Linked DNA regions of Kluyveromyces lactis. The protein of the gene in region 3 purifies or fractionates together with the protein of the main gene of each other region. This does not show direct contact. Links are inferred from orthologs where the notes say so. Each region holds a gene or a part of one and is shown on either strand. Other genes may lie near its edges.

Region 1 (2,349 bases), about 470 kb from region 3:
TCTGATGTTTCCGGTGGTTTTACAGTCAGTATTTTGGAAAATGCTAGGCAAGCTTTACTAGTTTCCAGACATCGAGCAATGTCAGTAGAAGATCCTGAAAGAAAAGAGGAATGCAAACTATCTGTCGCCGAAGTATTGTATCTAGCTACCATGGGTGGTGCTAAAGTTTTAAATCTGTCTGATAAAATTGGTAGTTTCGACGTAGGGAAAGAGTTTGACGCACAATTGATAGATTTATCCACCAAAGGAAGCAACGTATCCATTTTTCCATGGCAAAAAGTTACCAACGACAAAATTCAACCGAACGGGAAGGATAGAATCAAACTGGAGAATATTGTGGCAAAATGGTTATTTAATGGTGATGATAGGAATGTTAAAAGTGTTTGGGTCCGTGGAAAATTGTGCCATCAAAATCTTTAACTAATCGTTAGCTTACAATTCCATCGAAATAAGTATGCAAAACAAGAATAGCATGATATATAACTCAAGATGAAATAGAACTAATAATATGCAGCAGAATAAGTTAGTGGTAGTTTTGGATATTTCTCTTGCCATTCAGTGAAGACATCCATTATAAAATCCTCAAATTGAGTTCCGTTTTTCTCACATTCAAAAACTTTATCTCTTAGCATATCTGCCAATCTTAATATTGCTCGCCCACCAATTTTAGCGTTTTCATTATCATCTTTGATATCGATATTGATAATATGTGCAATTAGATTAAGCTGACCACCTCTATTCATCAGGTCCTCGCACACAGAGTCGAAACACCTTTCTTCACAGGTAAAAACGAAATCAAAAACCTTTCTCCCATCGTGCCATTTCTCAGGAGCTTTTTTTAACTTCCTGTTACGATCTAACATTTCTAATACACCATTTTGCTTGTATCTATCTTCACTTTGAGAAATCAAGTCATTATATATATCATCATAAGGCGTACCAAATGAATACACATTTGGTTTATCTATCGAGAGACCTGGAAGTCTAACTGCACTTCCAGTACCGTAACTAGAAACATCATACCCTGCCTCTTCCAATACCCTATGGGACTCCATGGACCTGTTGTTGTTAGATGCACACACAGTACAGAACTTAAGCCCGCTATTTCTCATTGATTCGCTCATGCCTAATAGTTCCTCTTAGATTCGTAATAACTTTTAGTCAAATTATCTATTCTGGTAGCACTAAGCAGACAACACTGTATGAAAATGAGAGTTATAATAATTGAATATGAAATGCAAGTATGGGCTGTCTACCATTTCGGTTACCAATTATGAATATCTTGTAACTTTCATTGAAGCTCTTAACAAAGTCAATTTTATCAATGTGCAGCTAGATAATAATATTACCCGGAAATGCGACGCTTGTAATAATCTTAATAGAATTATAGATTGGTAATTAGTATAAGTTCAAGGTCACTTCCGTTACACCCGATTACCAAAGCCTGTCCTTATTTGTGGCTGAATTAGGTGCTTGACAGCCGAAGGATCCATATTATATAATGATACTAATATTTAATATAATATCTTAAACAAAGAATGAGGAAGATACAGCAGTCAGCAGGAGGATGAATCCTCGACAAGAACTTGTTCAACTTCAGGATCAGCTGGATCTTCGCAGACGATTATTCGCTGGCTTTTGCATTTAACATCTTCAAATTCTTCATCTTTTGGTTGCGGGGAGGACATTTGTTTGCCAGAAACTAATGTTCCAACATCAACGTATTCTCCAGTGTCCTGTATGTCTGACTCCAATGAGTGAATAGAATCAGAACCGACAGACATATTGGCACTTTGATATAAATCATTTTCTGGCCTGGTTGTCAAAAATTGAATAATTTGACTATCTCTGAAATAAGTATGAAACTGATCCCATTCATTCTTACCTGAAATTAACATACCGAGTAACATTGACGGATCTGTTTCTGATATATGCAATTTGTTGAATTTGTGTCCGTGACAACTTCGGTAAAATTCAAGATCATCCATCATTAAAGAAGATTGCTGAGTGTTGTGTGGATCAAGGTAGAAAAGATTTTCATTTTGATATCCAAAAAAGTATAATGATGACGAGGGTTTACCGCCTGCGATCCCGACAGAATATGGTGATGAGAGAATCTTGAATATGTCTTTCCAGTATAAGCTGTTGATTTTGTCAACACCCAACCTGACAGCAAACAGCAGAAGTAAATTAGCATCCCTATCCTTATGAAAAATTCTTGTGACCTCATCTTCGTATATATCTGCCGACTGAGTTGAAATTATACAATTCTTAATTCCACAAAGGGGAAACCCTTCAATCAATGTTTTTATGCTTCTGGCTGTTGCGCTTGGCCCAAACCACTGCCCA
Region 2 (4,066 bases), on a different chromosome or scaffold from region 3:
GTTCTTCCAATAGTTTCTTTTGCTTCAATTGCCTTTCCTCTTCGTTCTCACCGCCAACAATGGTTATGTTATCGTTGATCAATTCATCAAGACCCAAATTACGCTCCGCCTCTTCACGCCTCTTTTCATACGCACGTAAGTAACCTTGAATGACCCTAGGGTCTCTGACTATAACAGTTTGTCGTTGAATGATACCGTTGGAATCTCTCTTCTTTCTAGTAATCCGTAACACTTTCTCGTCAGGTCTTGTCGAGGGAACATGCTTATTACTTTCATTAACGATATCTGGATCATCCATTTCTTCAAAGGGATTTTGAATGCTTAAAGACTTGGCTTGGTTATACCACGTCCTACTTATTTCTTCTTCATATGCTTTCTGTTGTTGCGCGACATTGTAACTATGACCACCAGCAATTTGCGGTTGATCCTTTGAACCGGATTTTACAAACCCACCCTTCATAGAGGTTTTCAAAAACGAAAAACCTTCACCACAACCAGTAGGATCACCAGGTCCATGTATTTGAATCATTGCTCTCATCTGTGTAGCATTCAAGAAATTCTTGGTAGCATTCCAAAATATTAAGTTCTCCTCCAACTCCTTAGCTCTTTCATCGAAGTTGTAGAAATCAATATCTTCCTGGAACTGTTGACCATAATACATGGATTCAACGAGTGAAACATCTTCAGGAGTAACCATTTTCTTCACGTTTTCGTTATCCAGTAAAACTTCTCCCTCCTTTAGTTTCCAGAAACCTTGATCATCACCTTCACGTTGATACTTCATGAATTCCTTTAATCTTTGTCTGTTTTGCATATCATTTTGTTCTGGGAAATGACGAGCCACCTGTTTCACTAACAGTCTGTTTTCCGGAGATTTGTTCAAAATACGATACACAACCATCCTCAAACGGTTCTTACCCATAGCAGTAACCTTTCTAGAATTCGGACCAGGAACTTCGACCACTGGGAACGTTTGACCGACAGCAAAGAGATGATTAATTTGACGCAAATAGAATCTGTTACCGGACCCATTACCAAGACTTTTCACCAGAAGGAAATCGGTCTTAGAGACCTCATGTTTGAAAACGGGGGCTCTGACCATATTGTTATATAAAGTGGGAACAATGTTTCCTGGACTGACGAAACCAAAATTCCAAAATGGTGATTTATCCTGCACACCTAATACATGAGTCTCACCAACGGGTAATTTTGGTCTGGAGCTGTCTGTTTCTCCCGTCTTTCTATAATAATTGATAAGCTTGTTAGCCATACCAAATTTAGATAACGCAACAGGTTGCTGTTCACTGTATTCCATCAGGAACACTTGAGCACTGTCACCAACAGTCAAGTCCGCAGAATGTTGGAAAATTTCGTGCACATCCTTACCTTTATCCTTCTTTCTCTTACGGGTCTTTATCTTACTGAACACTATGTTGGTACCAGGACGAATCCGTTTCCCGAAATGATTTCTATGAAAGTGTCTCAACTGATCTTTTGGTAACACAACTTTGTAGAATGGAGATTGTAGGCGCGTCGCCGGTTGAGAATGTTCTATATTCAAATTCGAAATTGTAGATCTGATCTTTTTTTGATAGTTCTTTTTCAAAATCTTGTAAGTGTCATCGTTAGAGATGTTGAACTTTGCTAGTAGAGATTTCTCATTATATGGTATTAGAGGTTTAACGACCTTTTGTGCCGATTCGATTTTATTCTCATTAGGCAAAATAAGTAATCGCTCATCATTCATATCAATTGGCGGTTCTTTAGCACTCACCTTACCATTTATGATATCATCTTCGTTCCATTCCCAGTCTTTCCCATCTTCTTCTAAAGTGTTCTCAACTGCTGGCGGATTCCTCTTGTTACTCGTCATTGGCTCCTCATTTTCTCTATCGTCAACAATTTTCTCATAATCCCATTCATCAGCTACAATGAGAAGATCTTCCGGTATCACTTCATCGTGCTCATCTTTCTTGTCATCTACAGTATCTTCTTTATATATCTCATCGTATGCTACTTTGATAACATTTCTTCGTTGAACTTCAGAGAACTCGCTTATAGCACTTTGCCAAGGCTTTACGCTTTTACTCCTCATCTTGAACAATTTTTTTGTATCCTTTTGAACTTGAAACTTCACTTTAATGGGTATGAGAGGTTTTAAAATTCTGTTTCGAAGGTATAACTCCCTTTGCCATTGATACTTCGCCAACGGTTTTGGAGCTATCTTGGTCATTCTTAGGACTCTACCCGGCTTTAGCTCAGGGAAATAAGACTGAAATAATAACTGTTCTTCCTTCGCATTTTGTTCCTCTTGTTTCCTTCGCTGTTCCTCCATTAACCTCCTGTGTTGCTCATCATATTCGTTAAATTGGTGTTGTTCTGGACCAAATGACTGATATGTGCTCTCCATGAACAATGCATTATTACCTTGTACTTCAAATCCAGCAGCGTCAACTTCATGCATCACATCACCATGGTCCATCAGAGTCATATATTCGTCGTCTTCAGTCAGACTCCGCTGAAACGACCCTTCATTATGCCTGTTCGGAGAATGGGATGGCTCTTCTTCCTCCGGTAATTCTTCATCTGCCAATTCATCTTCATCTTCAAAATCAATAGCATTCGGCAGATGCTCTGTTTCATCTTGCTTACCATTGCCGCCACCACTAGTATAATTACTAATATCTAATGCCCCAAACTCACCACCAAATAGAGCGTTATACGCATCATCTTCATTGCTGAAATCCTTCTTTGCCTTGCCTTGTTTCTTGCTTCCTGAGCTTCCAGCAACCCTAGGCATTTCGCAAAAATGGGTGTATTATGACTGGAATCAGATTAGAATTCTGTTATTGACAGAAATATTGGCTCACAGAGTTGAATGAACCTATTTAACCACCCTTTTTATGACTTCGAGCACTCTTTACTGAAATGTACATATCAGCTCTTCAACTTTGTTTAGATTTTGATATTGAGGGATCAATCCAGAGACCGGGTAACGTAATTTCAGTGCAATCCATGTAACATAAACCACTATCATGGCCCAGATTGGCCACTTCACTCGAATTAACAAGGTTATATGCAATGTGTAGCATGCACTCATCTCATTTACTGGCTTTTCGTTTCAATAAGTGGTTCGCTGACCTATTAATCGACCATTTTATCCCATTTAAGGTCAATTTTTGTTGATAATTCTGCCAACATGAAATTAAAGCCAAACATCAAGAGCTTAAAGCTTAACAGTGCGAGCAGAGATCTAAAGGTACAATGCGACAATCTTTTAGGTGTTAGATCGACTAACTCGGCCAATTATTTCAGCAAATTTACACACTGAGCCATATACTTAACAGAAAGTGAGAATGTCTTTGATAAGTAGGGCAAATCGTCTTGGAGGTTTCACGACCGATGCAAAGCATTGGGAATACGAATGGTCCACTACTGCTAAACAAAATGAAAATGGTACTGATGAGAAGGTAAAATATAAGTTCAAGCAATGGGTAAAAAAAGATCATCCTTTGAGAGATGTAGTTGAGGATGATACAGATGTTCTTAACTTAGATGAATTTGATAGGACGAAGATAGCTAAGAAAAATGCTCGTGTCCAGGAGAAAAGTGGCCCAGATTCACTCTCAATTAACGATATAAGAGGAGCTGTTGGTGGTTCTGACATTCCTGGGTTCTCAGGATCGGATGCTAAGAAAGAAGCCGAGAGTGAAGCTGCTGTTGAAACTCCTGTGGTTGAAACTCCAGCGGAAGAAACTCCGGCTGAAGATACACCGGCAGAGGTAAAAGACCAAGAAGGCGACGTAAAGATGGAATGATTCATTATATAACGATTACACCTATATACTGTAATTTTACTACGATTCATGGAATCCAGAATGTGGCCTGGACGCCCACTCTCGAATAAGATAAAGACAGTCCTTCATCCAAAGGAGGGCAAGCAGGAAAAACCATCACCGCTTTTGTTCTCCACATAGGACGTATGTGTGCGTTTGAGACATTACTATATAAAACTATTGGCTTTCATTATTCACGTTGTTGGTTTTGATAGTCATAAATGAGATGG
Region 3 (5,804 bases):
CTTTAACGATGCGAAATAAAATAAGCAATAGGATCCTTGATCGTATTTCATAGAGATGCAGAATAATTCGTTTTCTGTGTTCTCAATTACCTAAGTTGTCTTGTTCAGCTTCAATGGCGTTATCCAATGACGCGAAAAGACCATCCAAATCGAATTCCTTGGACCATTCTTGAACAATGGTCGTTTGTTCCACCTTAGCTGGTGCTGCGACAGCACCAGTACCTAGAGTTGGTTGGTTAGCTTCACCAGATGTAGCAGCATGTTCTGCAGCAGATTCCTTAGAAGCATTGGGTAGAACCCATCCTAGGATCTTACCATCTCTCCAATCGTTAAGAACGGATATACCAGCGCTGGCCAAGTTTGGAACACCGCCCTTACCTAATCTACCTCTCTTACGGGCGATATGGATCAAGAATTGTTTGGTGAAAGAGTCTGCATCGGCAGCTGGGATAGGTGGTAATTCGTACAACTTCTTGAAACTTTCAGTCATTTCTTCAGATTTAGAAAGTCTCTTCACTAATTTGAGCACAGCTGGGTAAGGATCTATGATGAATTTTGGAGGTAGAGCGTTCAACAAGGCCAACTCTGCTTCTTGTTCCACTCTACTCATCTTTTTATTTTCACTTGGGAAACAAATACCTGGAGAATCCAAGATCTTTAGCTTGTTATCTACCTTGACTTCTCTCATAGATGTAGTGACACCAGCTTGGTTACCCACTGGACATGCTTTAGAAGAACCACCACGGCGAGAGGTCAATGCGTTAATGACAGACGACTTACCGACGTTTGGATAACCGATGACACCAACAACGATGGATCTCTTCAAGTTTGAATTATTGGAGTAAGTCTTCAAAGCTTCTAACAAGCTTGAAGCAGTTGTAGCCTGAGTCAAAGTCCTGTTGAAAGATGTGGAGTTAGTGGCACCAGGAGCAGCTCTCAATGGAATAGTAGGGAACGAGGATTTCAAAAAGGTTAACCATTGTTGCAACACGTATGGTGGCACTAAATCGATCTTGTTCAAGATCAAAATTAGTCTCTTACCCTGGGATTGAAGCACGGCCTGTTCCACTCTTCTCGATCTAGTTCCTTCTGGATCTCTTGCATCTAGCACGTAAAGGATAACATCGGACGCATCCACCACAGTCTTGAATATCTTATCGTAAGCCTTTCTAGACTTTTCTAATTCAGAATCATCATCATCTGCGTCAGCGTAAAAGTCTACGTCGTATTCAGCAACCTCTAAATCCTCTTGCTCTCCATTCATTGTATCATCGATACCTTCCCCATTGTACTCCTTTGCAGCTTGCTGAGCGGATTCTAACAAAGCAGAAAGACCATTGTTGCCGTCGTTTTCATCTTCATCCATAGATTCATCGTCATCACCAACATCTTCACCTAGTTCACGAGTTCTTCTCTTAGCCTCTAACCTTTCCTGCTTTCTACGTTCTTTCTCCTCCAAATCAGTTCTTCTCTTCGCTTCAATCTCTTCGATGATCCTGTTCTTGTACGGGAAATTGGCCGGAATACCTGGATCCTTACTCTTATTGGATTTCCATGTCACATCCTTCTTAGCAAGTTTCCGCTCTTTCCTATGTTGAGCAGCAGCCTTCTTCTTGATACCCTCCTTCATACGAGTGGAAGTTCTCTTGGAAGTTCTCTTTCTTACTCTCACCATCTCTTTTGATTAATGGAAAAAGGTATATTTACTGCACTGGATTATAGATATCTTAGCTGTTCCGGTGAACTTATCACGGAAAACAGTACTGAAACATCTACTTGAACAGGTGTTCTGTAAATATCAAGTCTCATCTCATCTCATCTCATCTCATCGCAGGTTTTAACATATTTCGAAGAGCTGAAAAATTTCAAAGTAGAAAAGAATTTCTTTTTGCTGGCGGACGACAGTGGAAACACAGTGGATACTCGTCAATTACGAGGCAATCTTATGCTACTCGCAAGCCATAATTTGTGTCAATAATATTTGGGACGTATTTGGTATATCTATGAGCACTTCCAGGCAGATATTTAACATTATATATACAGTAATACCGTCAAGGGCAGTGAAACTGTCAGTACATATAAAGGCAGCCCAGTAGCCGTTGCGCAGTTTTTTTTGACACTAGCAGGGAACAAAAATCATCTCAGTAATAAGAACTGATATAACGTGATATACGATACGAAGTTGCGAGGGTGGAACTTGTTTTACCACATCTCTCATCCTCTCTACTTCCAGTCAGTGTAGTAATAACTGCGAAGTTATTACTTGTTACCCGGATCTCGTGAAAATTTTCATCAACCGTAAACAAGAGACATGCCACGGTTGTTTCTGTGGCGTTTATCACGTGATATATATTTCCGTCGAGTTTCCAGCATTTTTGCTTAGAAATTGAGAAACTAAAATGATAAGGAGCTATCCAGTTGCAACTTACACAGTCTTGTCCGTCTACTAGTTGGTTAATCGGTATTTCTTCTGTTCTTTTATAACAAAAGCAGCGCCTAAGTTTAGTTATCTTAGCGGCTCATCATTCGACTTCTTACCGTTCAGTTTCCAGCTATTTTTTTAGGCTGTTCTGAGTCATATACCGAGGCAAGAGAAAAGAGAAACTATGTCATTGCCAGCAGCAGCTTCAGCAAATGTAGCTGTCTCATCTAGAAGGAGGGGGCCAAATTTGAACATTGTTATATCGTGTCCCGAATGTAAAGTTTATCCTCCGAAAGTTGTGGAACGGTTTAGTGAAGGTGATATCGTCTGTGCATTATGTGGGTTAGTCTTATCGGATAGAATTGTGGATACCAGGTCAGAATGGCGTACTTTTAGCAATGACGATCAGAATGGAGACGATCCAAGTCGTGTTGGTGAAGCTTCAAATCCTTTGTTGGATGGAAACCATTTAACCACACGTATCGGGCAGGCCCAGGGAAGTGATGCTAGAGTTACTAGGGATTTGAATAGGGCTCAGTCGAAATCTATCGTTGACAAGAAGGATAACGAGTTGCAAGCTGCATATGCGAAGATTACTATGATGTGTGATGCTGCAGAACTGCCCAAGATTGTTAAAGATTGTGCTAAAGAAGCTTATAAATTATGCTTCGAAGAGAGAGTCTTGAAGGGGAAATCACAGGAAAGTATCATGGCTTCAGTTATTCTTGTCGGATGTCGGAGAGCAGAGGTCGGGAGATCTTTCAAGGAAATCTTATCCTTGACTAACGTGCGGAAGAAGGAAATCGGGAAGACGTTTACCATCATCAAGAACATTCTAAGAGAAAAGAATGATAGAGGGTTTGCCAATATTGATACTTCAAATATCACCACAGGACAGACAAGTGCAGAGACTTTCATCCCTAGATTTTGTTCTCATTTGGGCCTTTCAGTGCAGGTGGCTAATGCTGCAGAGTACATCGCGAAACACTCTAAGGATGTCAATGTCTTGGCTGGTAGATCTCCTATCACCATCGCAGCAGCAGCTATCTATATGGCAACTCTACTATTCAAATTGAATATCAGTCCTACAAGAATCTCTCAGACTTTACAAGTCACAGAAGGTACCGTGAAAGGTGGATACAAAGCATTATACGAACACAAAGAAAAAGTGGTCGACCCACAACTGATAGAATCTGGTGTCGTGAAATGGGACAACCTTCCTAGAGTCAGTAATGACAAAAGTGAGAAGGCTAATTGATTATTAACAATACCCATTACAAAAACCCAAAAAAAAAAGAATATTAATACTAACATTAAAAAAAAATCAAGAAAAGAAAACCATTAGTTGGGAAGAATACCCAGTTTCCAAATTTGAATTGAATATCCTATAAAATTCTCGGATCAACTATAATATACATAAATTCTTTCCCTATCTTTTTCATTGCATCTAACACATTATTTGAACTTTATAACTTTCTTTCTCAGAAACTTAATTGGTGTATGATTTATTATACCTCGAGTTATGCAATTGAATAGATTTCTGTTTCGAAACTGTGTTTCAAGTCTATAGGATAAAGTATATGGACCTACGTACACGTCGAAAGAACCAAAAACTTAAAAAAAATAAAATACTTTAATGGATTTACTCTCGTCTTCCAATGTTTAAAGCATAGTTATGGTTGGCGTTCTTTCAGTAATGCAGATCTTTTGTATATTGATTAAAGGATGTTAATTACTTTGTATTCTTATGAAAGTACATATCTTAGTCTTTATTCGTGTTCTTGAACTTCGAGAAATCGGCCATTGAAAATACTGGTCTCATCCCTTGGTTCGGTAATGAAGTGTTTTTCCTATCCCTATCTGACAGTGGATAAGAATCTTTACTATCAAGGGAATCGCCTAAATTCATCATACTTCTACTTCTGAAATTTGAGCTGTTTTCCATTTCTTGACGACCAAATCTACCCCGATTAACGGTACCTTCTTCCAATTTTCCTAGCATGTCTTCTTCTTGAGCCAGTTTGCTATATGTTTTAAGTTTGCAGAAACTTGTTTTCACTGCATTGATACCATCAAATATCTTGTGTTTGGGGAATTGTCTAGCGAATCTGAATTTGCTAATGATAAGATATATCGAACCGAGCACTAATGAAATTATGAAAATGTGAATTATTGTTTGTTTCAATGATACTCCGAAGGATGCGTTATTGACTGGCTGTTGGAGGGACAGGATGGCTCCCGGAATGAATTGCTTGCCGTCTTTCTTTTCATCCATGGGACTTGGCATTATACCAACAGTGGCGCTTGCGTCTCCGGCAACGACAAGTCCCGAAGCGTACATTAAAATTCTACCTAACGTCCAGGTTACGTCTTGGTTGTTAATTTTTTCAACACTCTGGAATGGAACATGTCTATCATCGTCGCTTTTTGAGTCGTCTGGAATGTCTATATCCATCCTAGGAAGGTCAAAGCCCTCATGTAAGACGTTCAATATCCAGTTCGCCTTGAAACAACTATCCAGTAAGAAGTCATCTGGTATATTGTTGTACACTCCATTAGCGTTGTTCTCTTTCAACGTATTCCAATCAGATTCACAGAATTCTTTGACGTTCTTCGAGAATTCATGGAAATTATACTCCCCACTCATCTTGAACACATCATTTGCTGTATACCAGTACTCTGAAATACCCACAAACTTATCTTGTTCAAAATTAATCCTTGGTGCATGTACACCATTGAAGAGACAAGGTTCTTCTAAGCAAGGTAGATTGTTCAAAAGTAACGGATACATCGACTTCATACAATGTACAAAGTCACCAGCACCTGTGATTTCGAAATCTCTATCCTTGAACTCAAACTCGGTTTTTGCTCCCTTCGGTAAACATGGATCGCTAATATATCTTGTCTTGTAGTCGTCATCATCTTCCTCATTTGCGTTTTCAGGTAACGAATTAATTAGTTGAGCCAAATACCTAGACCTTGCCCTATTGGCTCCAAACCCCAACCATGTACTCACGAATACATCCCATTCTTGGGTGTCACCATTGACATTCTTCAAATATATGGTGTGCATATACTTTTTATGCCTTGCAATTTCTTCCGGGTCACTCGGCATGAACGCTAGTTGCGTTGAAGCACCTCCCATATCCATAAAACCTGACGAAGGGTGTTGTGCATATTTAGGATCAAAGTTGTCAAAGTTCCCCAACAGATAATTGAGACTTAACCACCCATATAAACCCTCTGTTTCCCCATCAATGATCTGAATTTGTGATGAGCAATCCTTCAATAGGAAGTTCGTATCACTTCTAATCGATTTACACAGTTCTTGCAAAATCAACTCTTGTTTTCTCTGAGGAAGTAATCTCATCCCGGCGGTAGC

Evidence for each region. The genes of interacting proteins can lie anywhere in the genome.
Region 1: the proteins of SUA7 (region 3) and SSU72 purify together in Saccharomyces cerevisiae (affinity purification with western blotting; 4 studies listed by BioGRID, with this or other methods). This does not show direct contact. The link is inferred for Kluyveromyces lactis from reciprocal best matches to the Saccharomyces cerevisiae genes SUA7 and SSU72.
Region 2: the proteins of SUA7 (region 3) and TAF1 purify together in Saccharomyces cerevisiae (affinity purification with mass spectrometry; 3 studies listed by BioGRID). This does not show direct contact. The link is inferred for Kluyveromyces lactis from reciprocal best matches to the Saccharomyces cerevisiae genes SUA7 and TAF1.

Annotation. Positions count from the first base shown.
Region 1 is NC_006040.1:1,644,774-1,647,122, forward strand, and holds SSU72 (RNA polymerase II subunit A C-terminal domain phosphatase), read right to left. Parts: upstream 1,125-2,349; coding exon 501-1,124; downstream 1-500. Other genes in the region: GUD1 (guanine deaminase), read left to right, coding at 1-420; cysteine protease ATG4, read right to left, coding at 1,557-2,349. UniProt on the Saccharomyces cerevisiae protein: Component of the cleavage and polyadenylation factor (CPF) complex, which plays a key role in polyadenylation-dependent pre-mRNA 3'-end formation and cooperates with cleavage factors including the CFIA complex and NAB4/CFIB.
Region 2 is NC_006037.1:879,454-883,519, forward strand, and holds the start of TAF1 (histone acetyltransferase), read right to left. Parts: upstream 2,801-4,066; coding exon 1-2,800. Other genes in the region: RTT102 (Rtt102p), read left to right, coding at 3,357-3,818; RNH70 (Rnh70p), read right to left, coding at 4,014-4,066. UniProt on the Saccharomyces cerevisiae protein: Functions as a component of the DNA-binding general transcription factor complex TFIID. Binding of TFIID to a promoter (with or without TATA element) is the initial step in pre-initiation complex (PIC) formation.
Region 3 is NC_006040.1:1,173,995-1,179,798, forward strand, and holds SUA7 (transcription factor TFIIB), read left to right. Parts: upstream 1-2,606; coding exon 2,607-3,680; downstream 3,681-5,804. Other genes in the region: RNA-binding GTPase NUG1, read right to left, coding at 83-1,675; YND1 (apyrase), read right to left, coding at 4,185-5,804. UniProt on the Saccharomyces cerevisiae protein: General factor that plays a major role in the activation of eukaryotic genes transcribed by RNA polymerase II.